7 linked regions of the Kluyveromyces lactis genome follow. The protein of the gene in region 6 interacts with the protein of the main gene of each other region in a pairwise test. Links are inferred from orthologs where the notes say so. Each region holds a gene or a part of one and is shown on either strand. Other genes may lie near its edges.

What was found.
Region 1: the proteins of GLC7 (region 6) and BUD14 interact in binary tests that used the Saccharomyces cerevisiae proteins (3 or more experiments, as listed by UniProt). The link is inferred for Kluyveromyces lactis from reciprocal best matches to the Saccharomyces cerevisiae genes GLC7 and BUD14.
Region 2: the proteins of GLC7 (region 6) and SCD5 interact in binary tests that used the Saccharomyces cerevisiae proteins (3 or more experiments, as listed by UniProt). The link is inferred for Kluyveromyces lactis from reciprocal best matches to the Saccharomyces cerevisiae genes GLC7 and SCD5.
Region 3: the proteins of GLC7 (region 6) and KLLA0_F27533g interact in a two-hybrid assay, tested with the Saccharomyces cerevisiae proteins (3 studies listed by BioGRID). The link is inferred for Kluyveromyces lactis from reciprocal best matches to the Saccharomyces cerevisiae genes GLC7 and GIP2.
Region 4: the proteins of GLC7 (region 6) and GIP4 interact in binary tests that used the Saccharomyces cerevisiae proteins (3 or more experiments, as listed by UniProt). The link is inferred for Kluyveromyces lactis from reciprocal best matches to the Saccharomyces cerevisiae genes GLC7 and GIP4.
Region 5: the proteins of GLC7 (region 6) and SEN1 interact in binary tests that used the Saccharomyces cerevisiae proteins (3 or more experiments, as listed by UniProt). The link is inferred for Kluyveromyces lactis from reciprocal best matches to the Saccharomyces cerevisiae genes GLC7 and SEN1.
Region 7: the proteins of GLC7 (region 6) and YTA6 interact in a two-hybrid assay, tested with the Saccharomyces cerevisiae proteins (2 studies listed by BioGRID). The link is inferred for Kluyveromyces lactis from reciprocal best matches to the Saccharomyces cerevisiae genes GLC7 and YTA6.

Annotation. Positions count from the first base shown.
Region 1 is NC_006039.1:388,414-392,375, forward strand, and holds BUD14 (protein phosphatase regulator BUD14), read left to right. Parts: upstream 1-1,398; coding exon 1,399-3,462; downstream 3,463-3,962. Other genes in the region: ADE1 (phosphoribosylaminoimidazolesuccinocarboxamide synthase), read right to left, coding at 1-618; KAP104 (Kap104p), read left to right, coding at 3,755-3,962. UniProt on the Saccharomyces cerevisiae protein: Important for bud site selection. Seems to be a regulatory subunit of the BUD14-GLC7 type-I phosphatase complex. The BUD14-GLC7 complex is necessary to regulate microtubule dynamics at the cortex and may function as a specific activator of the dynein complex.
Region 2 is NC_006042.1:234,572-238,340, reverse strand, and holds SCD5 (Scd5p), read right to left. Parts: upstream 2,478-3,769; coding exon 501-2,477; downstream 1-500. Other genes in the region: KLLA0_F02610g (uncharacterized protein), read left to right, coding at 1-83. UniProt on the Saccharomyces cerevisiae protein: Regulates both fluid phase and receptor-mediated endocytosis. Involved in vesicular transport at a late stage of the secretory pathway. Regulates actin cytoskeleton organization.
Region 3 is NC_006042.1:2,548,104-2,551,453, reverse strand, and holds KLLA0_F27533g (CBM21 domain-containing protein), read right to left. Parts: upstream 1,998-3,350; coding exon 501-1,997; downstream 1-500. Other genes in the region: ubiquitin-binding SDF ubiquitin ligase complex subunit MET30, read right to left, coding at 3,050-3,350.
Region 4 is NC_006042.1:225,725-229,846, reverse strand, and holds GIP4 (protein phosphatase regulator GIP4), read left to right. Parts: upstream 1-1,348; coding exon 1,349-3,622; downstream 3,623-4,122. Other genes in the region: MRS2 (Mrs2p), read left to right, coding at 1-988; mRNA splicing protein PRP45, read left to right, coding at 3,806-4,122. UniProt on the Saccharomyces cerevisiae protein: GLC7 phosphatase-regulatory protein involved in GLC7 subcellular redistribution and chromosome segregation.
Region 5 is NC_006038.1:494,497-498,190, reverse strand, and holds the end of SEN1 (DNA/RNA helicase SEN1), read left to right. Parts: coding exon 1-3,194; downstream 3,195-3,694. Other genes in the region: ATG23 (Atg23p), read right to left, coding at 3,394-3,694. UniProt on the Saccharomyces cerevisiae protein: ATP-dependent 5'->3' DNA/RNA helicase required for the expression and maturation of diverse classes of non-protein-coding RNAs like precursor tRNAs, rRNAs and small nuclear (snRNA) and nucleolar (snoRNA) RNAs.
Region 6 is NC_006042.1:1,158,118-1,160,981, forward strand, and holds GLC7 (type 1 serine/threonine-protein phosphatase catalytic subunit GLC7), read left to right. Parts: upstream 1-1,428; coding exon 1,429-2,364; downstream 2,365-2,864.
Region 7 is NC_006041.1:2,081,615-2,085,501, reverse strand, and holds YTA6 (putative AAA family ATPase YTA6), read left to right. Parts: upstream 1-1,395; coding exon 1,396-3,387; downstream 3,388-3,887. Other genes in the region: transcription regulator GCR1, read left to right, coding at 1-998; putative ubiquitin-specific protease UBP16, read left to right, coding at 3,749-3,887.

The sequences.
Region 1 (3,962 bases), on a different chromosome or scaffold from region 6:
TTTACATTTTGTGTACAATTTTATAGCCAACTTCTCGATTCTGTCACATAAGTCTTGACCGACCAATCGAGCTGCCTGTTCCGGAGAAATATTTTCGTCGTGCTCACCTTGTTCTGCTTTAGTAGAAGGAGTGAAGATAGGAGATGGGAATTCCTGAGATTCCAGTAAACCTTCTGGCTGTGGTAAACCATGGACAGTACCGGTCTTCTTGTATTCTTTCCAGGCAGATCCTGTGATAAATCCACGAACGATGACTTCTAATGGGATTAATTTGTGTTTTTGAACCAACAAAGATCTTCCCTCCAATTGAACTTTGTACTTAGATTCTGAAAGCTTTGCAGGTAATTTGTCAAAGATGGTTTCACCTGGACCTAATGGTTTCAAATGGTTGCGGACATCTTCCTTCAAGAAATCAAACCAAAATTCGGACAACTTGGTCAACAAGATACCCTTTTCTGGAATTGCATTCTTCATGATGACATCGTACGCAGAAATACGGTCAGTAGCGACGAACAACAAAGTTTGATCATCGACTTGGTAAATGTCTCTAACTTTACCTCTAGCCACTAATGGTAGGATACCGTCCAAGTTGGTTTGAGTGATGCTTGTCGTGTTCATGATGATCCCTTTTTTTCTTTTCAATTTCAATCTCCGCAGTAGTAATAGTCGGAAGCGAGTGAGTAATAGTACGTGAATCAGCTAATGCTTAGATGTGATAGTTCTCTAACATCTATCAAATATTAAGTGAAAAAGTGATTATACCGCTTTGCAACCACCTAATTTGCACACGTACTTACAAAGCTGGCTCATCTCATTATATACATCGCATTTCAATTTTTTATTTCTCATGTCTCGAGGGAAAGTAATATCGAAATATATCGAGATATGTCAAGTCAAAAATCATCATTTAAACACGTGACTGATATATTCCACGTAATGCTAAAATAGTAATCCGGGTAATGAAATATATTTCGGTTTCTCTTTCGCATCAGTTCCTTTTTCGCATAGCGAAGTTTCTGACATTCACAGCCGTTAGTCTTTAGTGATATACATTTAGAGATACAGATATGGTGGAATTAGTGAGAATGAACATGAAACGAGACAGAGAGGGAAAGGTGTATAGCGTACAGTAAAGGTCGTTCGACTTATCGAAGCTAGCACCTATACAAAAGGCGCAACAAACCATTTTAGAAGGGTTTTCAGGGGGATTTTCCGCTCTGGATAAAGCACTAAGAGGCTTGAAACAGCTTTTAATTCTCTTGTTTTTGGTGCAACATTTTCCACTGAGGTTTCAGAGATATATTTATACACGCGTTACTTGGAGAAAAGTATTATCAGCTTCCATCTCTGAATCCTATCTGTGCATTAACTGCTATTATACCACTCGAGTTGTATCGTATGATGGATTTGGAGTATCCTAAGATGTCAGGACTCGCAGGTCTGGGCTCTGGCTTAAGATCACGGGAACGATCAAAACCTGATCTATCGATATTAACTGATCCTACACTGGTTGAGGATTTCGATGAAATCATGAAACAGATGCGAAGCCTCAAGAAGGACGAGGAATCCCTGAGTGTCAATGCTAGTGTTGTGATAACGCCGACTGAAGCACATGCTAATGACGTAAATCGTCAAAAAGTTGACTATGAAGGTGTCCCGGATCTCGGTGATTTACAGTTGGAAGATGAGGAGGAAGAAGAAGAAGGAGAAGAAGAGTTAGCACAGGATATCGATAATGAGCATGATACCAGTTTCAGTTCGCGACATGGGAACGAGCTGCAGGATTCAGATTATGCATATTCAGATTCGGATTTTGAAGATAATTTGGAGGAGCGGTTAAGAAGTTTAGAGACTTCTTCTCAAAGAAACAGCGGAGAACATGTTTCTTCTGTGAAAGGGATAGTTGCAAACGATACATCGAGTGCTATTGATAATAACATGGTGGCAGATCGTGCGAAAGAAGCAAGAAACGGATTGGAGCAGAGATCATATGACGATATTGATGATGACGATGATGAGGCAGAAGAACAAGATGACAACGACGAAGAGGACTTGAATATAGGTTGGAACACTAATGAATCTGATGATTCTGATGAGCTGCAGCCGTTAAATCCGCCGCAAGAATTAGACCCCAGCAAATTATATGCATTATACCCGTTCCAGGGACCTGATCCATCACATTGCCAGTTGGAACAGGACGAAGGTTGTACTCTTTTGAATGACCAGGACTCTTATTGGTGGTTAGTTAAACGTTGCAGTGATGGGAAAATAGGATTCGCGCCTGCAGAACTTCTTGAAACGTTTCCTGAAAGGTTAGCTAGACTGAACTGTTGGAAAAACGAAAATATATCATCACATTCAATTTCTCATAAAGAGGATTCAAATTCAAGCAAAGAATCGAATATTTTGAACAAAGAAGATAGTATTGAGGCAGTTGAGTCCCCGTTGAACGCATACTCAAAAACTAATAAATCGGTTAGCTTCAATAATGTTGTCAGTTATGCTGAAAGATATATTGATGAAATAGAGCAAGAACCATTGGAGGACGACAGCGGAGAACTGAATGGTGCAGGAGAATACGTTCATGATGTGGAATCAAGAGACGGGCAAGACGGGCATCTACACCTGGGAACAGATCTTGGAACTCACTTAACACATGTCGATGAAATACATGAAACCCTTCTGAATGATCATTTGTCAGATGATGTAAGCGAAGTTGTAAGTGATGCTGCCTTCAATGTCCATGAAATGGCACCATTAATGGTGCAAAAAAATAGACCTTCAAAACCTGCCTTGACGGATCTGTTGTCAGAGAAACAAAATGATCTAAAACAAGTCTTTCAAGCTCCCACTATGCCAGTAGCAGCACCAAGAGGTACTTCCCAAATGACAAATTCAAATTCAAATTGTTCCATATCTACAATCGGAGAATACTCGCCTTCCTCTTCAGACTGGACAAATGATTCACCTCAGTTGCTAAGTGAAAAGGAATTCGAGAAGTCTAATTTGAATGATCAAATCCCATCTTCCAGAGCTATTCAAGATATATCGAAAATTGTAAGCTCGCAAGATGCGCCTGATTTGAACTCTCTTCATGATGAAGATTCTCTGCAACATAGTGAATCATTGCCAAAAGTAACTCATAATCACCAGCATTCGATATCTACACTGAATGCTGTAGATATCAACAGTTCTGTCGGGACAGAAAAAACTATTGATATTGATGAAGAAAATAGTATCTTACCAGATGAAAATACAAACGCTTACAGCACCGTTCCATCCTCTATAGCCTCAAGTTGCATGGACCATGAACACAACTCTCCATTAATTTCTGAAGTAGCATTGCATACAAGCACTGGTGTAGTAGGGGATTATCATCCAGTGATTAACTCCTTGTACAACCCTATTTTCAGCAAAATAGATGTTATGATGGACAAGATAGAAAACGCCATCTCAAACTGATATTACCTCCATTCAACGCATTATGTAGCTAACTTTTATAGAGACATAACCCAACAACAGCAATCACTATTGCTTCAGTAATCTGTCTGTGCTCATCTCCTGTTTCAGTACCGAAAGAATAACACACGTGACCGCAGTACTGCATTAGACTTTAAAATTTTTTTTTGGTTTGTTAGCTCATCGCAGAGATATCAAATTCACTAAAAACATTTGAGCAGGAGGAAGCACGGATATTGCTGATAAGGAAGTGGTCAGTACCGTGGAGACTCCATAAACAACCTTGAATCCCAGTATGCCATGGTCACCAGATAACGAAGGACTAACTCAACTTTGTTTGACATTACAACATGCTGTTTCAACTAATTCTGATGAGAGACAGCAAGCACTCGATGCATTGGAAACATTCAAATTAGAACCACAGTTTGCCAATTATTTATGTTACATTTTACTTCATCTTGAGGAAATGGATCAGTTAAGAGGTACTGCAGGTATTCTTTTGA
Region 2 (3,769 bases), about 920 kb from region 6:
TCAACCACGTCAAGAAATCAAAGTTTTTAAAAGCTATCTGGATACCTGGACCGGAACATTGCGGAATCCCATTATGCGCCTAAGATTCCTTATTACAAAAGAGTAATTTGGGAAGTTTAGCGATGAAATAGACACTTTGGTTTGTATATAATAGCCACTTTTGAATGTTAATGTAATTTAATGCAGTGTCCTATCTTATTAACGTAGTGAAATGTGAATTGAGGTGATTCGTCCCCAGTACTGGTCAAAAAGAGCCCTGGGATTCCTTTCGCAGCAGTGATCTTTCAATTGGTCACGTGATTAAGATGTACGTTGGGACTTACCATGCATTATTGATCTACAATACTTATATGCAGCGTTACCTCTATTTCTTCCCCACTTGCCATCTGGAACAGGTGAATATGAAGACTAGGGTTGTCTTTAAGTATGTGTTGCGAGTATTTCTATATCGTTTTGTATATATTTTCGACTCTTGCGCTATGTGGAAGTTTGGTTACATTTTAACGTCTCCCATCGTATGAGTATGTTTGATTCAATTGATCCACTTGCTGCTGCAATGCCTTTAAATCATCTAAAATGTTGTCTGACTGGGAACGTGCTGGTCGTGGACTGACAGCATTTGGTCGCACTTGATAATTGAGGTTAGAGCCACACTCTGGAATATGCTGCTGGTATGCTGCGGATAAATTCACGCCGTTCGATATGTTCTGAGGTTGAGGAGACGATGTGGGCATCATTGGTGGTGAAGGGGTTATGAGTGAGCTGAAATATCCGTCAGATGATAGATTGGAATGGGATGAGAGTTGAGGTTGAGGTGATGTAACCAATCCACCTGCATTGGGCTGCAAAAACTGGCCTTGATTTGGAGGCTGAAAAGCATTAATCGATGGTCGTGGACTGAGATACTGCTGTTGCTGTTGTTGCTGAGATGGTAGAGCCGATTGGAACGGCTGAAATTCTTGAAGATCTTGAAATTGCTGCTTCATTAAATAGTTTGCTGAGCCTGTGGATGTTGGTTTCATCGCCTCGGTGAACTGTACCTTTCTTTGTGGAGGCACGAATGGTGCAGTACGCCCCTGCTGTGGCAAATGCTCCGCAGGTTTGCTCCTTCTGAATATATTCTTGAAAATCTCGTTTGCTGATCCAGTCGCAGTAGGTTTTAGTGGTTCCAGGATATGGTTGTCGTTTTTGTTAGCATCTATATTGTGAGAGGGAGGGACAGTCTGTCTGAACAAGTAGTTTGCAGATCCAGTTGCTGTTGGTTTTAGTGGTTCAAGAGCCTGCTCTCTCCCTGAAGAATTAGAAGATTCATATGAAGACATGTTGTTAGGGAGCTGTGTGACACTATCAACTTTTTGGATCTGTCTGAAATGGCTCAATGAGTCCTTCATATCTTCTAATACTTCTCTTTCTTCTTGTGTCTCAGGCTGAGTATCCGAGGGTAATTCCTTCACTAAAGCACTGTTATTTCGATTTCTTGAAGATAATTTTGCTAGCAATTGTTCCATCGGTAGTGATAGGTCCAAAGTTGAATCATCACTAGGGCTAGACTCAGTAGACGCTGCGTTATCAGGTGCAGTGACAGCAGGTTTGCCAGACCTCGAGATGCTGCTCATTGCCTTGGTAGATAAATCGTTTGCGAATGTAACCAGATTCTTGGAGAATCGGACCTTCTTAATCTGATCTCTACGTTTCATGATTCTCCTTCTGATATTCTTTTGTATTGCTTTCCCTGTTAAGAGCAAAGATGCAAATCCATCAAAGTCTACCTTTTTATCAGTAGCGTTGTTTGGGTCTTCTTCCACCTCCTCATATACTTCTTGACCAGCATTAGCAGATAAGATGGATTTTGGTCTTAACACAGGTGCCTTTTCGGGAATCATGCTTCGGGTAGGTAGGAAATGCTGCTGTAATCCATGAGCAACTAGTCTAATGATGGCATAAAACTGCTCTTCATTTACAGCGTATCTACATGTTCTGAATATGTGTGTAATCCTTTCTTTAATCGTGTCGTCAATCCTGAAGTTGGCTAGAAAGTTAAACACATCGTCCAACGTTATTGGTCGCGAATGAATCCTGGAACTTAGGTCTCTAAACCATCGCAAGTAAGCTTTTCGTTCATCAGGAGTGAGTTGGAATTCTGGAACTGCTAGCGGTACCTGTAACTCCTGAGCAGTTTCGACATACGACGAGGCAATATCCGATTCTGAATGGGAGTGAAGAGCTCCGTCTATTGTGTGCGACTTCGATTGCGAATCCTGAAAATTACTTGTAGATCCTGAAACAGTAAGTTTATTGCCCTCACGTCCCCTCAGTGATTGTTGACTTTGCGGTTGTTGCAGATTACTGGGTTCCTGAGGTCTGTCTGCTGTAGTGAAACTGAATGACACCGCTGGAGGCGGTGATGAACTTGATACAGAGGCCTGTGAATCATTGGAAATATCTAACCCTGGTACATTCAACCAATCAAATGACATTTTGCACAGTCACACACTCAGATAGAATAGGTGGAGTTTCGGTTGTTTGACTTCTTTCTTCAAGCCATCCATCTATTTATCATTTTGATGAGACCTTTTTTGTTTTGATTCATATCAAAAGAACAATTTTTCAGCTTAGTCCTGCAAATAATTGTTTCAAGGTACCGCAGAAGCGGGGGCCTCATAGTCATGAAAAGCTGTGGATTCTGGCTGATTAAGTGCGTATTGATAGTTTGTAGACGTTTATTTATGTTAATAGGAATGCTTTACGAGTAGGTTCTAATATATTCAAGGATATGTTAGAAAAGTTAATAATATTACATCGGATAGGCTATACACGGTTATTAACTATCTAAATTAATTTAAAGTCATCAAATTGCTACATTGAATGCTCTCTTGCGCTGCGCATAGTTATCACGACAGTCTGACCCAATTGTAGTGTTGACTTTAAGAGATTTGCCATTAGATTTGATACTCTTGTTAGAGTCCAGTCTTTTTTGTTTAAGTTTACGTGTTTTGATCTTAGAATTAGAAGACGAAAGTTTTTCTTTTCCGTTGCCAGTATCGTTCACTGCTTTTGTTACTATGTCAGCAATTATATCATTGCTTACATTATCAATGGAAGGCAATTTGTGCTTAGCAGCAAGTTTCTTGAAACTTCTATTCTTCTTTTCTTTCGACTTCTTGCCGAGTTCTGCGTCAATATCAAAGATGTCATTTTCCTTCAGATACATTACTTCATCGCTCATGATTGATTGTTTCTTTGGTTTTCCATCAGGTGTATTACCTCTGATATAGTCCGCCATTGTCATGACTTCATTATCAACCAATCTGAACTTAGCTTCCTCCATAGCTCTTAAATAAGATTTTTCAATTTCGTCAATCTTCCACTTCGTATCTTGAATTTGCATAGCTAGAGAGTACCTTAAGAAATCTTTCGAGTACCTTTTGTTATATTGTCTGAAAACGGACTCACGATGCCTATACGGAAATTGAGAAACATCCACAGCATCCGTCGGTTCGCCTAAGTATCCATTGGTGATTTTAAGGATATCAAGAATTCCAAGTGATTCACCGTGTGGTATAGCATTTGGGTTCGATGGTGTGATACAGTCCATGTCAACCTCTTTTCTCATAACTCTATCAACATCAACAGCAGAAAAGAATGCACAATTCTGGGGCAAATCGTTGATACACATTTGCTCACTGAAATATGAACGTGTCCACAAATTCGATATTTGTAAAGCTAAAGTTATTCTGTACTTGTCCTTTTCAGATACTATGTATCTAAT
Region 3 (3,350 bases), about 1.4 Mb from region 6:
TGTTTTTTCTTTCCTTCATTCTTGCAAGTTCCTTTCGATTCCGAGCTGTTCTTTCAATCGAAAAAAAGCAATCGTTTCCTGGGTTGCTAGGATTAGATGAGAACGGGCAAAATGGGAAATGCCGATCCAGGCACACCTATTCTCGACAAATCTGGTTAACGTTTTCTCACTGGAATACCTTTAGAACACATAATCACGTGCAGATCCCTCATCGAACGTTCTATTTTTTTACTAGTTTCTATTAGGGAACCAAAAAGGGTTTAGCAGCGCTAAGCCGGCGATCGCCATAGACCACTGTTTAAAATGCATGAATCCAATCATAGTGTTTTCCTTTAAAAACACTATTAGATATATCATCACAGAGTGTCACTGTTAATGACATGTATCGCTCGGACATTATTTGTGTGGTATGAAAAATTATATATATATTGATAATAATTCTGATAATTGATGTGTCTTCATATATATTGCATATTTGAGTGTCACGGAGTGGGTATATGTTACTTTACTCGGACACTGACTTTGTAATTCTGGCCCGAATTGTTGTCCCAATGATCGATCCATGAAGACCCTTCTCGTGTTTGGTATAGTATGCACATTTCGATGTGCTCGATTGTATTGATTTTACCGAGATCAATGGCAAATTGGAAGACATCGATATCGATAGCTCCTGTACCACTTTTCAGGTTACAATGGTTTGTTATCCATACACTTTCAACATCCTGTTGAGATTTCCAGGAATCTAAGGTGTATCGTACAATAACTCTCTTTTCGTAGGATATGTTTCGTACAATGACATTACCAATCAACATGTGCCCTTGTGTGTCCAATCTAAGGTCTTGTAAATGACAAATAAAGGTTCCCAAATTTGCCTCTTTTTTAAAGCTATCATTTGTATTAAAAGGAGAGCTGAAATCAAAGTTTGGGATGCCAGTAGTATTAGCGTCATCTTCATTTTTATTGTTGTTGTTGTTATTATCATTATCATCATTATCATTAATACCATGACTATACTTCCAAAAAGGTGCATTATTAGAGTGAAGAGAATTTGACCATCCAGAATTTGGAGTGTTCATCGAATTATATATACCATTGGCAAACGTTTGGAACTGATTTTTTCTTACACCAAATACATCTAATCGTAATAACTTTGGAGTTTGTGCTTGAAGGATCAAGTTTCCATTTACCAATTCCAAGGACCTCTTTGATCCCTTCATATTCAACATATCATCGTCGTCATCATCACCATTAACTTTGGCAACAGCCTCTCGGCTTCTATGGCGTCTGCTTTTCCTTAACTTTCCAGATTTCGTACCGTACTCTCCTGATTCGTTTCTTAAGAATAACGGACTTTCGTCCTCCCTAAAGTATTTAACTTCAAACTTCTCACTTTGAGCAAAATGAACCGATTTAGACCTCTTGAAAACAGGAGGTCTTTGTTCCTGGCTTACCCTACCTTCTAGTGGAGAAGTTGGTAGGGATTTGCTTCGTGTAAGTAATATTGAGGGTGGATTGAATATAGCGCTAAGTTTTCTACTATCCAAATACCTGTCTTCTGGTTCATCATCATCGTCATCGTTGTCATCGTTGGAATTGTTATTGATTTCAACTTCAGGCACATCTGGTTTCGATACAGGGAAGTAGTCTTGCATGCTTAAGCTTGGGTCTGTTTCGCTTTCCCATGCTTCTTTCTTCAATGGGTCTGTTTCAACATCCCAATCTTCCTTCTTTGATGGGTCCGCATCTTTATTGAAATTTAATTTCTCGTTGAGCCGCCCTGCCAATTCATTGCCCACAGGATCGTGTTCATCATGTTGAGAATCCTGTAAACTTTTATCTACAATAATTTTACTTTTATTCAGATCTGTGTTCCGTTTCAAAGCGTCGTTCATGGCTGTTGTTTCGACCTGGCAGGAAATTCTTTGTGGTTTCCTCAAAAAATTCAAAGAGCTAAACTTGCCGCTTTGTAAATTCTGTACAGCATCTCGTTGGTACATCTCGCTAGACCATAGTAGATTTCTTCTTCTATTTAGATAGCCTCAATCTATTCTGACTTATCTCCAATTATTTAACTAGTGTCTTGATACGTTTATCAGGAAGATACGCTAGTAATCGAAAAGTGATTGTTTACACTAGCGCTTATTGCCCAATATGAAATGCTAAATGCTTTAAGGATGATAAAGCAATGAAAATGCGAGCAAACTGGGGTAGCTCGTTATATATCTGGTTTATCTTCGATCAAAAGTTAAAACAACAAAATTTAAAACAAAACCTCACAGAGTAGAAAACACCAAGACTATTTTTATTCTTAACTCGAAGGTCATAAAACACCAAGTACCCAATACAAACCTGTTCGACCACTGGCTCACCCGACTTATGTATGATTGAAGTCTTAAAAACAGAGGAACATTAATACCTTGCATGAAAACGTCTGCTCATGGTGACAACCCTTTTTTTCTTATTATTTCCTTTCCTTTTCTTTTCAAGGATTCCCAGTCACATTTCTCTACTACGATATTTTCTAAGCTGTTTGGTGAGAATCTGGAAACCAAAAGACGGTCATGTTGACAATGAAAAATGGAAGATGTGTTAGTTTGGCTTTCGAAGAAGAAAACGGTGCGCTGTTACGTTTCAACGAGGCTCATCATCTTAATCATTATGGTGCGATCTTATAATTAGATTCCGCGCATATACGACGGTCGAATTAAATGACGAATTCCACAACTTCGCATGCTCGACATTTGACTTTTTAACGTTGATGGTTTCGGGGTTAATGAAGCCAGGTAGGTACATTGATTTTAAACATTGTTCCGAGCACGATAAAACTTTCAGAAACTGATCGTTGAGTAATGTATTCGTTCGAAAAAGAATGGCATTATGTGGCCTCTGTATTTAGGCAGCAGTTGAGACTAGAAATAAGTTACAATATAAACTTTTGTATTTAGTTATGCTAGTTTTGAAGATGTTGAACACAATTGTTCCTTCACTTCTGTACCATTAGCTATAGTGTAATCGGTGCAACAATGCCAATGGTTCTACGACAGGGCTCTCAAATATCATCAAAATGCCACATTTTCACTTCGCCCAGCTCGTCTCCGCTAACAAATGAACTGTCACCAATTCCTACACATACAATAGGAGCCTTGTGTCCTGTAAAAGTTTGTATGCATTTACCATTTTGAAGATCCCAAACTTTGATGCTCTTATCGTGAGAGCCACTGACAATTCTGAAGTTATCAGCAGCGATATCCCAAACACCTTCAACATGTCCAAATTGAGTTCTAATGCATCTACCTGAACTGACTTCCCAGAGTTTGATGGTGTTATCCAATGAACATGAAAGCAAATGT
Region 4 (4,122 bases), about 930 kb from region 6:
GTTACATATAAAAGCAATGATACAGAAAGATAAAGTTTTCGTGTTTGATACTACAAATCCTGACGCCGCCATAAAACTTGGTGTGTTAATGTATGACTTGGAATCAAAACTATCTCAAAGGAATATCAATTACCAAGGGAAATCTGTCTCATACCAGGAAAATTATGAACATAGAGCCCTCGAATCAATACTCATAAACGTGATGACCTGTTTGGAAACGGAATACAAGTATCATCATTCTGTTTGTGGGATGATATTGAACGATTTGGAGAATCAGATTGACCGAGACAAGCTTAGAGATCTTTTGATCAAATCCAAAACTTTGACTGCTTTTGCCCAGAAGAGTGTCTTACTACGTGACCTTTTAGACGAACTTCTAGAGTCAGATGAGGATTTGGCCGGAATGTACCTCAGCGAGAAGAAGCATCCAGATGCTGACGACCATTCGGACCTTGAAATGCTCTTAGAGACATATTACAAACAGTGTGACGAATATGTGCAACAATCCGAATCTCTCATTCAAGATATCAAATCTACCGAGGAAATTGTCAATATTATTCTAGATGCCAACCGGAACTCATTGTTGCTATTCGAATTGAAAGTTACTGTTTATACGTTAGGTTTTACGGTGGCCACACTTGTTCCGGCATTTTATGGGATGAATTTGAAAAACTTCATCGAAGATTCAAACTGGGGATTTGCCAGTGTAGTTGGACTGTCAGTAGCAGCTGCAGCAGTTGTAACTATCACAAATATGAGAGCTCTAAGGTCAGTCACAAAATTGACACTATTGAATAATCATACCGGTGCTAACAATAAAAAGCATTTGGCAAATGCTAAGTTAGCTCTAGACAAAGAAATACCTACATTCTGGGATAGGTGGTTAACGAGTGCAAGGGTGTTATGGTCTGGACGTGAAGTATTGTACAAAGATGGATCAAAGAGAGACATGATCTGGAAATGGTTAGTAGATGACGACAAGAAGTGAAAAATCCGTATAGCCACATCCTGTAAATAGATAATTTCCTGATCGCAAGCAAGTTATCTCTATTTTTTAAACATTTTTATAGATTAAAGCAATAACTTTACTTGTGATACAAATATCATGAGTTTTATGATTACCTATTTGCGAATTCTTGATACATCTCTGTCCATCTGGTTGGTATCTTCTGCAACGTCAAAAAAAAAAATAAAAAGGTTTCTTAAAATTCGCCCAACTGAAAAGAGACATCGTACTCGGCAAGACTTGGCTGCAATTGAAGCAAATATACACCATTCGCTGACTTATCAGAAGGTATATCTACTTTGGGACCATCGAGAACTGCAATAATTACGTTTTTTTCCAATTATGCTGGCGAAGGCGGCAGCTAGTGCTTCCTCATCTATGGAAAAGGGTAGTGTGTATTTGGATTTTACAGATATAAAATGCATACAATATACATCATCGATACGGAAACTCGAGCAACTGGTTCACGTCTGTAAAGTGTTGCTTAGGAATTTGTCAATGAAGAGTAATGAGAATCTTATCCCCTTGTCAAACATCGTGATAGCTCTTGGTTCAGGGTTTCAATTTAATGTATCTGCGGCCATAGAAAAAAGGATCGAACTACTCTCACAATTTAGATCATGTAAAGCCAATGCTACAAATCTGCCATTGAGCACCACTTCTCTCAAACTAGAGGTTGACCTTGTACCGGTGGAAGAAGACTCTGTCTTGTTCGTCAGTAAATTCTACAACAAAGAATTACAATCGCAATTACTTACCACGTTACAACGAGTAGCAGAAGATTCACTTCAGATATACCAAGCAAGAATTAGGCAACTGACCATGGAAAGGAACTCAAACAGACCTACAGACCTATCTGGAAGGACAACTATCTTCAACGAAGATGCGCTAAACGATCTTCTTTCACCAAACGAGTTAGCATTCGGACTTGACTTACTTGTTAATATTAGGAATAGATCAACCGATACAAGCAGCTCTGCCTTCTTTGCTTTGGCTTTACCAATCTTAGAGAAATTCAGGTCTAACCTCAATGATAAGTGCATACCCCCTATACGATCATATTACACTAGTATAATGAAATTCAGCCGAACAAAGGGCGTTTTCTCGAATAATGTTCTCATCCAATTGCCATACTGGCAGTTTACTTTGCATAGGATGTATGCTGCATCTCTTAGAGCAAAATGTCTCATCGATGTGATACGGGCTGTATTGAGACAAATTTACATTCCAAATAAACATCACTTCCATGATAACACTACCAAATTGCATTCAAAGAATCTACACGAATATTCTGAGCTATTGGAAGAGTTAGAAACGTTTTGCTTCACACAGGAACTTGAAAAAGATCTTATAGAGGCCTTTAAGTCATATGGAAACCAGAATACTGTTTATCAAGTTCAGTTTAACAACATCTCATCAGCATATCAAAGATTGTTGTTAAAATCTACGCAGATGTTACGGAAAGCTGCTAAACTCGTTGATTCGTTTAGCACCCAATGGAAAAGTATATCAGATAACATGAAAGCCAGCAAATATGACGATATGAACATCGATGAGATGGCAAAGATGGCGGAGGAAAAGTTAGCTGTAGATGAACTAGCATACAACGAAAAAATAAAGGAACAAGAAAGACAAAGGGAGGAAAAAAAGAATTCCAGTCTTTCACAAAAAAACACATCATCTTCATCTTCCATAACTTCAAATTCTTCCTCATTAAACGTTTCTCCAAATATTTTATCGCCTTTAAGACTGAGCCGGACATCTTCAGTTTCGCGGTCAGAAGAATCAAGGTCCCCATCATCACCAATACCTTTCACTGATGCGAAGTCTAATATATCGGCTAAAAAGACCAGATCAGTCAGAACAAGAAACAGATCGTCATCATTGCAATCAGTATCAAGTCTTGAAGATACTTCCACTGCTCGGAATGGTATGAGATCCAATTCTCTTCAATCAGGTTCTCTGAATACACAAAGAATTGTACAGAATGCATATTCAAAAGCATTACTCTCGTTAAATGAGAAAAGAGGCCCAAGACTAACACCAACAAAGCTGAATAATTCTATAAGATCAAAATCACCTTCTCCAACTGTGTCACGGCAGAATTCCGTAAAACAGAGGAACAAAGTGAACATATTGAAGCTAAATGAAGTAGACGAAGATGACATCAATGAGAAATTCCACGATCTGAAGCTGGACGATGATACTCTAATCGTCTCTCAGGAAGTGTTATCTCCAGAAGGTAGTGAAACTCCTAAGATCATAGTTTCTGTTGCCGATGACAATCAGTCGTCTTCAAACAACGACAGCGAAGTTGAAGGTATTGTGAAAAAGGTGAGATTTATAGGGGTTCCGCCTATGTCACAAGATGAAAACCCTGAGCCTAAAAGACGCGGATGGTACAAGAAGCCTGCCGTGTTGCATTATCCACCTCCACCTGCACAGCACTCACTTCAAAAATTCAGAACAACTCAAGAGGGTCTTGCATTTCGCACAAGTTTGATCTCCAGAGACCAAGGTTCTGATAAAAAGTTCGGTTTTGACAGCATGTACTCATCAGGTCAAGGGGCGGATACTAAAATAGTGGGTAAAATCAAGGATAAACTGTTTAAATAGAAAGAATCTTTTAATTTCTATTTGCAGTGAACTTATTTCCATTATAATATCAACTTTTAACAATGTATTTGAAATTTAGAGAAAATATTTAACTATTGAACATTCCCATAATTTATAAAGTAAAGTAGGTAAGGCTTGAAACATAGGAACAAACCTGTTATAACACCACTAGAACGGTCTGACATGTCATTCAGGACACTCAGCTCATTGCTACCGAGTCCGCAAAACTCAGAAGTCTCCGAGTCTTCAGCATTTTCTAGACAATCTAAGGAAAACATAAAGGATACAATAATATTAGACAAGCTACGACCGGAGAATCTACCAGTGGCCTCAATATCTGACTTTGTACCTCTTAGACAACGTGATATATCACTAGAGGCACCGTTCCCATCGACATCACAGATTAATCAAACATATGTAAAGACTAAGGCGTTTCTAGACTCGCTGCTAACGAAAAAGAGCTCTCTACAATTATCGTCTATTGCGAACAAGGACATCGT
Region 5 (3,694 bases), on a different chromosome or scaffold from region 6:
CTGGATCCTTACAGGAATCAAAAGCTACCATCTCTACTGTTCAGCAGCAACCGAATAAACCATCCATGACTTCTGGCCAGCGTGCTGATTCAATGTTGAAAAAGGCAAATATAGGTTCATCGCTTCTTTCTCGTCCTAAGGGTCAGTCAACCCTTTCATCATATGGTTTCTTCAAACCAGGTGGTACGCCAACTGTTAGTGCGCCTGCTCCCAAGCCCTTATCTAGATTTGAACTGGAAAGGAAAAAGCTTATTGAAAAGCGTGTAATTCATCCTGCTCAAAGTCAAGTTTTCAATACAAGACCAACATTGCAACCGAAGAAAGAGGATAGCAGTAGCGAGGATGAAAGTGACTTCGAAAATGCTGCCGAGCTCTTCGCTGTTGCGAAATCTAAAGCTAAAGCTTTTTCACCAGGTCTGCTTGACATCAACGGTAAAGAAATCAAAAAGTCAATGACCCCAACTGATTTACGTCGCTTAGAAGAAGAGAATATGAGGCAAAGATTAAATGTTGATTTGGCCCCATTCTACGAGAAAGTTTTGAAATGGGACTACAAAAGAACCAGTGAGTACCCAACCGATACAGAAACATCCTACTCTGACGTGAAGGACTCATTTTCATCGGTCTCTGATTATCAAAAAGTCATGGAACCGCTTTTGCTGCTAGAATGTTGGCAGGGATTGTGCTCAGCTCGAGACAGGGAAGAACAGAAAAGCTTTAGTTTCATTGTAGGAAATAGGACGGTTGTTTCTGACTTTTACGAGGTATATGCATCAATCAACAAAAATGTTGTTCGTGACACAGGTATCAATGACTCGGATTTAATTGTTCTTGGCTATTTCCCCGACTCTTCTTCTTCAAAGCCATTGACAGATAAAGAATTCAAACGATCAAATCACACTTGTTTAGCCAAAATTAAAGAGATAAAGAACTCGAAAGGTGAAAATATGGACCTTACATTCAGGATTCATCGCAGTCATAAATTCTCAAATCTTTTAACTTTACGTTCTGAAATTCATGCTTTGAAAGTCATGCAAATGACCACAGTCGAAAGAGAATACACATCTTTAAAAGGTTTGCCCTATTATGATCTCTTAAAACAAATACTCAAAGCTCAACCATCCGTTCCAGAGAATATTAGTAGCACTGAAGTTAATAGAATCAAAGCAAACTTCCACCTAAATACATCCCAGGCAACAGCAATTTTGAGTACGGTAACTACCCAAGGTTTTTCACTAATTCAAGGCCCTCCCGGTACTGGTAAAACCAAAACTATCTTGAGTATTGTCGGATACTTCATTTCAAAAGCGAATACAAACTCTAAAAATACCGTAACACATACCATTATCACGCCAACTAATACAACATCAACAGAACAATTGTTGGAAAGGCAGAAAGTATTAATCTGTGCACCTAGTAACGCTGCTGTTGATGAGTTGGTCTTGAGATTACGAGAGGGTGTTTTGGATTATTCTGGAAACACTTTCCGACCGGAGATTGTTCGTATCGGTAGGAGCGATGCTGTAAATGAATCCGTCAAGGACTTAACCCTTGAAGAAAAAGTTGACAAAAAGCTAGGCGGTAGTGATTATGAGATGGTCCAAGATTCTGCATTAAATCAGAAATTTCAAGACGCTCTACAGAAGCGTAAAATGCTGCAAGCTAAGTTAAATAAAGAAGACGGTAACCCAAATAGTTCTTTGTCATCTAATGAAATTGCAGACATTCAAATGGAAATTAGAGATCTGAGAAGGCTCATCAGCGAAATGGGTAAACAGAAAGATGAAATTAGAGAGTCCAATTCTCTAAAGTACAGAAACAGGGAGCAAAATAGAAGAAAGGCTCAGGCACGTATCTTGGCTGAATCAGATATTATATGCTCTACATTATCTGGGTCTGCTCATGATGTCTTAGCATCCCTAGGTGTCAAGTTTGATACTATCATTATCGATGAAGCCTGTCAATGTACGGAGCTTTCTAGTATCATTCCATTGAGATACGGTGGTAAACGCTGTATCATGGTTGGTGATCCTAATCAATTACCTCCGACAGTCCTATCTGGTGCTGCTAGTGACATGAAATACAATCAATCCTTGTTTGTAAGGATGCAGAAAAACTGCAGTCCTTATTTGTTAGATGTTCAGTATCGTATGCACCCTGCTATCAGTAAATTCCCCTCATTAGAGTTCTACAAAGGTAAGTTACAGGACGGAAGTAGTGTTCAAGAAGTTAATACAAGAGATTGGCATAAGAAATATCCGTTTGGTCCGTACAAATTTTTTGACATCGTTACTGGTAAACAAAAGCAAAATACTAAAACAATGTCCTATACCAATCCTGAAGAAACAAAGGTAGCCATTGAGCTTGTTGAAAACCTTTTAGCTACTTATGAATCAAAATATGATTTTACAAATAGAATTGGTATCATATCTCCTTATCGTGAGCAGATGCAAAACATGAGGAATCAATTTAGGCGCTACTTCGGAGATCAAATCCGTTCGTACATCGATTTTAACACCATCGATGGTTTCCAAGGGCAAGAAAAAGATATCATCATTATTTCATGTGTTCGTGCTGATGACAATAGTACAAGTGTTGGTTTCTTGAAAGATTTTAGACGTATGAATGTTGCATTAACCAGAGCCAAATGTAGTCTATGGATTCTAGGGCATCATAAATCGCTAGTCAATAACAAATTGTGGAAGCATCTAATTTCGGATGCCAAAGAAAGAAACTGTCTCGAATTGGCGTGTCCCGGTTTTTTGAATCCAAGCGATAGATACGCTCAAGATACAATTGAGCGTTTCAAAGGATCCCACGATTATATTGCCAATTTGGATACTTATAACCCATATGATAGCTTTAACTCATCTAGAGGCCATAAAAATGTGAACAAACGAGATGGAGACTCTTCTTCCGCACATCATTCAAAAAAGAAGTTTAAACCAGATAATTTAAAGGAACAAAACATAGTTTCCAACGATTCTGGTGCAAATCGTCCTGAAGGAGAAAAAGGTTCTACTATAAAATCGTCTCGGACAGGTACAAAAAAGAAATCATCTATTTTTGGCACATCCTCATCCACTCTAGGCATTGCAACTGGAGGCAAAGTGCACATTCCAGTAATTGCTGGTGATAATTCAAAGAATATTAGCAGGGATGATGCAAAAAATTCGACCGGCAAAAGATCTTGAAATTTTAGTAATCAAGTGCAGGATTCTTACTGCACATAGTGGATGTGACTTTATCATGCAGTACTCTATAGCCGATCACTATTGCATAGTTTAAATAATTGACGATGCGAGTATTATTTAAACAAACAATTATATTGTAAACCTTGTTCTGTAAAGGCAAAACACTAAAAATAATATGAGACGAATCAATAATAGGTCTCTAGTCAGTCTTGTTTATCTTTAGAGGGAAGTCCTCTGTTGATTCGTGTAAATTTGAAGCATATTCCTTCGATAATGCGACTTTTGGAGGGGATTTTCCCATTTGTAGAAGTTCAGGAGTCTTTGCAGAGCTCTTGATTGGAATAGGTTGCATTTTACCATTGAGCTCATCTAGTGCTTTCTGTAAAGCTTTCAATTCGCAGAGAATGGAAGTGAATATAGAGTCTTTCGAATATGTTCCTACAATCGAATTAACGCGGGATAATGTTCTGCTGATCATTGAAGTTATATCTGTTTTCGGT
Region 6 (2,864 bases):
TTCCTGGTTCAATATCCTAAAACGACAACCTTGGGAGACGTGGTCATCGCTCATTGTTACCCTGGTTTCGTTCATAACGATTTCCCTCTTTCCCTCATTTTGGTCTCCCCTATATCATCACTATACATCATTTCTCTAACTTATCGGGTAGGGCAGAACCAACGAAGTGAGAACACATCCAAACCAACGGATTCTATGCCTTGGTGTTGCCCGAAATAGCAAGGTGCGGTAGCTTATTGTACGCCCTTGTTTTATTTACTATATGTATTTTTTCATGTATCCCTAATGGAGAATGTAACGAACTGCAGCCTGCCAGCTCTTTACATCTTGATTCTAATAATAAATATGGTAAACGAGTGGAAAGAGAAGAAGAGAAGAGAAGAGAAGAGAAGAAGAGAAGTAGGCAAAGAAGGCAAGGGACGTAAATGTCAGAGGCTGCGTGCGCGAGCTGCGGTGCGAAATGCTAGGCAGAATATAGACACTGCTACTGCTGCTGCGCAGCAGCAGTAGCAGTAGTAGTAGCATCTTTGCCATCGAAACCCGACATCTCTGAAATACCTAGCACCCTCCCGCTCACAAACAAAAACAGAACACAACCCATTCCATAACTAAATAGTACATATACGACACTTGGCAAGGCAACACTGGGCACTAGCCCCATCCCTAGCCCCAGTTGGTTTTCCAGTCCAATGCGAAGCGATACCAAGCTGACACTGCGACTTCTTTTCTTTTTTTCCCATATGAAGGAGAACAAAAGTGAAAATTGAGAATTGAAAACTTTCGGTAACGCTTTTTGGCATTACTTACAACTTGTGTTTTATTCATTGGGAAAACACGGTATTTTCAGTGTTTTCCTTCCCATTTGTTTCCGGGAAGATCATCAGTATTGGCGCCAGCTCGAGTCAGGTCAGTGTGTGGTTATTGGCGACAGGTTTGAACACAATACGAAACGGTGTAGATCTCGTTTTTCGGGTTATTTTCTAATTCTATTTTTTTTCCTTTAAAACTCTGTGTGTGTTTTTCTATTATTTTTTCTTTCAATCAATTGATTAAAAAAAAAAATTAATATTATTAAAGAAAGATAATTATAAAACATAAGAGATTGAGAGACTTACGTTCATACGAAGGTTAGAAAGAATACAGCAGGGTCTGTTTGTTTGTAGAAATTGGAAGTGAGACAATATTGCATCTTCAAACCAGGGTAATTTCTACTAGTACCTTTTTTTATCTTTTAAAGTTGCGGGCTATATTCTATAATCTGTTTGCTTCGTTAGGAAAAAAAAATAAGGATTAATAAGAACCAATACTTTTGGATAATCCAAGACACGGAAGCATCACAGTTGCCATCGGTTACTTCAATTATTAAGAACGTTTGATATAGTACCGCGATAATTATAAAACAAAGGAACAAGGAATAAAATAAGAAAAATGGATCAACAATCAGTAGACGTTGACGATATCATTGATAGATTGTTGGAAGTGAGAGGGTTGAAACCTGGCCATCAGGTTGACTTGGAAGAACACGAGATTAGGTATTTATGTTCCAAGGCCAGATCTATTTTCATCAAGCAGCCAATCCTATTGGAATTGGAGGCACCAATTAAGATTTGTGGTGATATCCACGGTCAATATTATGATTTGTTACGTCTTTTCGAATACGGTGGGTTCCCACCAGAATCCAACTATCTGTTTTTAGGTGATTATGTGGATCGTGGTAAACAATCGCTAGAAACCATTTGTTTACTGTTGGCTTACAAGATCAAGTATCCGGAGAATTTCTTTATCTTGCGTGGTAATCACGAATGTGCATCGATCAATAGAATTTACGGGTTTTACGACGAATGTAAGAGACGTTATAACATTAAGCTTTGGAAAACTTTTACGGATTGTTTCAACTGTTTGCCTATCGCTGCGATTGTCGATGAAAAAATCTTTTGTATGCATGGTGGATTATCCCCAGATTTAAATACCATGGAACAAATCAGACGTGTGATGAGACCCACCGATATCCCAGACGTGGGGTTATTATGCGATTTGTTATGGTCCGATCCGGATAAAGATATCGTTGGATGGTCAGAAAACGATAGAGGTGTCTCGTTCACTTTTGGTCCTGACGTAGTGAGTAGGTTTTTACAAAAACAAGATATGGAATTGATCTGTAGAGCACATCAAGTCGTCGAAGACGGATACGAGTTTTTCAGTAAAAGACAATTGGTAACATTGTTCAGTGCTCCAAACTACTGTGGTGAGTTCGATAACGCTGGTGCTATGATGTCTGTTGATGAAAGTTTATTATGTTCGTTCCAAATCTTGAAACCAGCTTCTAAGTTATTGGAACGAAACGTAGTGAGAAGAAAGAAATGATGAATTTAAATTTAAACCTTCTTAATCATCATCATCATCATCATCATCATCATCATCCTCATCTCTCCCCCCCCTTTAAACAACGAATCCCATCTCAAAGAAAATCCCCAATGAAAAAACCAGAAAAAAATAAACTATTAAATTCAAACATAAAGTATAAGATATATTACTGGAAAAACTTGCTGAGCTAGAACGTTTTCCTTTATACCTTTCTAATATATTGTAACATAATTTCTTTGTCGAATGTCAAGCGGGCTGCTACAATTTCAATTTCAAACCTTTATCTCCACTTTACTCTCTTATCACCCTTTTACACATATCCCATCATTCATGTTATTAGTATATATATACGCAGTGATATATACATATATATATATATTCTACATATTGCAAAGGAAAATTCTGTAGATTAGCCGTTGAGCCTTTTTCCATACATCAATCGACTAAACCAATAACACGTACGTTAACATAGTGCTGTAGACACATCGTGTTTTTTAGCA
Region 7 (3,887 bases), on a different chromosome or scaffold from region 6:
CTATGAATTCTATCAAGAGAATGAAACTGGATGGGAAGGATATGTCGAACTTTGATAGCTCTTCAAGAAGATTATCTCAACCACAACCCCAATCCCCATTACAAATCGGTTCTCCATTGGAAGCATTGCTCTCGAAGCCAATCCCGTCTCCAAAAATCACTGTTTCTATGTTGAACAACTCAGTTGCATCCCCTCCTCCGAACCCGATGGCAATGTCACCTTTGCCATATATTTCAGAACCTATTGAATTGAATAACAATGGCAACAGTATATCTGATGGTGGTCAACGTAACGTAAACGTTGAACCTTCAAGCTCATTGAACCATGTGGAAAATGCGTCAAATGTTAGGTCAAATGCTCAGACTACATCGAAGATTAATTCATTGGGTAGCAATGAAAAGGATGAGCTCCGTAACGGAAACGATTCAGAAAATGAACCTAAGGTAATGACAAGGAATAATAGCAAAGGGAAAAGAACAGGAAATCCTAATATGGACATCAAATACAAGCTCTCTCGCGATAATAAAACAATCTGGGATTTATACAACGAATGGTATCATGGCCTAAACGGCAAACTGTCCATCAAGGAATTGATTGAGAAATACGGGTATAGAAGGTGGAAGGTAACAGAGGACTCTCATTTCTTTCCAACGAGACGTATCATCATCGACTATATCGAAACTGAAACTGACAGAAGTATTAATTTGAAGAGGTTTAATCTCAACAGTCCTCTACTAAAGGACAGAGACGCTGTTAGAAAACATATTGTGAAAGATTTAGAAACTTTCAGGGAAGAAAACGGCCTAACTTTGAATTCACTTTCTTTATATTTCAGAAACTACACTAGATGGGGCAAAGAAATATGTATATATGATAACTTCAAAGACTGGTCACTTGTTACCATGAATGAGGAAGAAAAGGTCAAATACTGCAAACGTAAGACATTGTCCTCAAAAGAAAATAGGGATGATAATTACTCGCAAGATGACAATGAGTGATTGATAAACATGAGATCTGAAAACAGACTCGGTTGTATTATAATATAGAGGTATATAATTCCAAATTTTTATTCTTACATGGGTTTAAGAAGGTCCTACCTCTGACAGGAATTCGTATCTGCATATGAGCTTTAGAGGTGTGAATTCTCGTAGTTTGGCGGGCTTCTAGTATATTATTATCCCTTTCCCGGTGTTGTTCTTATAAGTTTGGACTAATTCCCTTATTTTCCACCAAAATATCGCTTCAAAATTGAAACCTTCCAACATAGGAAAATAAGAGCAAATCGTCAACTTTGTCGTTGTTAAAGGGAACAACAGATAAAGAGGGTCTGGCGAAGTCAATTGTATAGAGAATCAGCACCATTAAAGACTAAATAAGGCTGACATACCGTGAGCGATGCCACACGACCACTTTATTGTCCCAAACAATGTTAGTCTAACCCAGGCGTTATCATTGTTGCACTCTATCGTCAGTATTCAATTAGATAACTGCAAAGAACAGAAAGCGAAGGGTAGCAAAGAGGAAACTGTTGATATATTATGTTCCATTCTATCATATCTTCGTGAGGGTTTGATATCGATAAAGAAGAAGTTCAATGTGGTGCATTATGGTGATTTGAAGGACCCTAATGTGGTTACAAAATATGCCGATGTTAGAATTTTAGGCCAAGAGATCAAAGACATGTGCGCAGAGTTAGAGAGCAAGTCACAAGATAAGCGAGATCCAGACTGGCGATCGAAATTGAAGATGAAATTCATCAAGAGTAACGTCAAACAGGATCAAGAAAGGGCGTTGAAAGAAAAGGAACAAGTTGAGAAATTGAAACAAGAAAGAGATAGAATTCAACGAGAAGAGAAGGACAAAGAAGCAAGACTGCTGAAGAAGAAGGAACAAGAGATAGAGAAGCAGGTAAGAAAAGACGTTCAGGAAGAGCTAAGGAAAACCAAACTGAAGTCCACCGATACCGCTGAAAGAAATGTGCATGAAACAATGATGCCGCCTACAAGAAGATCAATGGATCAATTGACTAGGAAGGCTGAGACGTTCGGTAGAAGAAGCCTGGATGGATTTGGAAGACGAAAGTCATATCAGAATGAGGTGAGAACTGTGAGTGCCTCCTCCCCAAATGTCAATCAGGCAGCCTTGTTGGCTTGGAGTGGACAATCCAGCCAAAAAGTAGCACAATCAAAACCAAAAGCTAAACAGACATTTGTGTATACGAAGCCTACTGTACGGAGACCTGTTATTAAGAGTCCTGTAAGAACATCTCCAAGAATTCCCGTTGAGGTTGCATTTGAGACACCGATCATTGATAGAGAAAGAATCAGGTCACCTGTCTCGAGGTCGGTCCCTCACAGTAGATCCACGTCTGTTGATAGAAAAGGTGGACAAGATTTATCACTGGAAAAGTCTGAAAAAGCCCTGACACCACTTGAAAAGAAATTGGCACATATCATGGATAATTTAGAAGGTGTTGACGAGAATTCATGCCTGCACATCATTAATGATATATTGATCGCTGATGAGAAAGTATATTGGGATGACATCTCAGGGCTTAACACAACGAAAAGCGCGTTGAAGGAAACTGTCGTGTATCCTTTCTTGAGACCTGATCTTTTCCAAGGTTTGAGGGAACCTGTATCAGGAATATTGCTCTTCGGACCACCTGGTACTGGTAAGACTATGATTGCCAAGGCTGTGGCAACGGAATCCAAATCAACGTTCTTTAGTATCAGTGCATCCTCAGTACTTTCAAAATTTTTGGGTGAATCCGAGAAACTTGTACGTGCACTTTTCTACCTATCCAAGAAACTAGCTCCTTCTATCATCTTCGTCGATGAGATAGACTCTTTGCTTACGACAAGAAGCGATAACGAGAACGAGTCCTCAAGAAGAATTAAAACAGAATTTTTGATTAGGTGGTCATCGTTAACCAGCGCTACCGCATCTGAAAAATCCGAAGAACAGATGGACAGCTCCAGAGTACTAGTCCTTGCAGCAACAAACACACCCTGGGACCTTGACGAAGCTGCCAGAAGAAGATTCTCAAAGAGAATATACATCCCATTACCCGACTACGAAACAAGGCATTACCATTTGAAAAGACTCATGGCAGTACAAAGAAACCAACTCACAGAATCAGACTTCAACGAAATCGCCAGACTTACAGAAGGGTATTCGGGCTCTGATCTAACGTCTTTGGCGAAGGATGCAGCAATGGAACCCATAAGAGACCTCGGGGAAACACTAATAAATGCAAACCTCGAGTTAGTTCGAGGCGTTACTTTACAGGATTTCGAAAGCGCAATGACAAGAGTGAAAAGAAGTGTCTCGACACAATCACTACTTAGGTTCGAGCAGTGGGCGCTCACATACGGAAGCACTTAATTGAAGATCTATCGCAGAGTTTTTGACATCGTCGTTTCCCCAGATTTAATTCTTCTTATTCCGGTGCCAATAGCGTCATTGAGCATTTTTATGTATTCTTCTATGCCCCAGGAACAATTTTTCATTTTTCATTTTTCATTTCTCTGGTAGTAGAAATCAATAACGAATTTTTATAGTTTAAGGAAAAGACATTACCTTTTCTAGTGAAAGAATGTTTGTAACCCCACTCAGGTTTTGTCATCAGAATACAAAGTGTGTTCAATAACAATTCAGAGTGGGAATTGCTGTTCGAGTACAAGAAGTTTATTTTAATTGCTATATCTATTAAGTGCTTCTGTTTCTCTTTCGGGGCTTTATTTGAATGCAAAGAGTTGTTTACTATACTGGCAACGGCTTAAATAACGGGAATAGTCAGTGGGTAAGTAATTGGTTGCATCGTAATAAGGGAACTTCTAAGTACGTTGGATTAGGATTAGCAGTAGCGATAACTGTTTATGTTT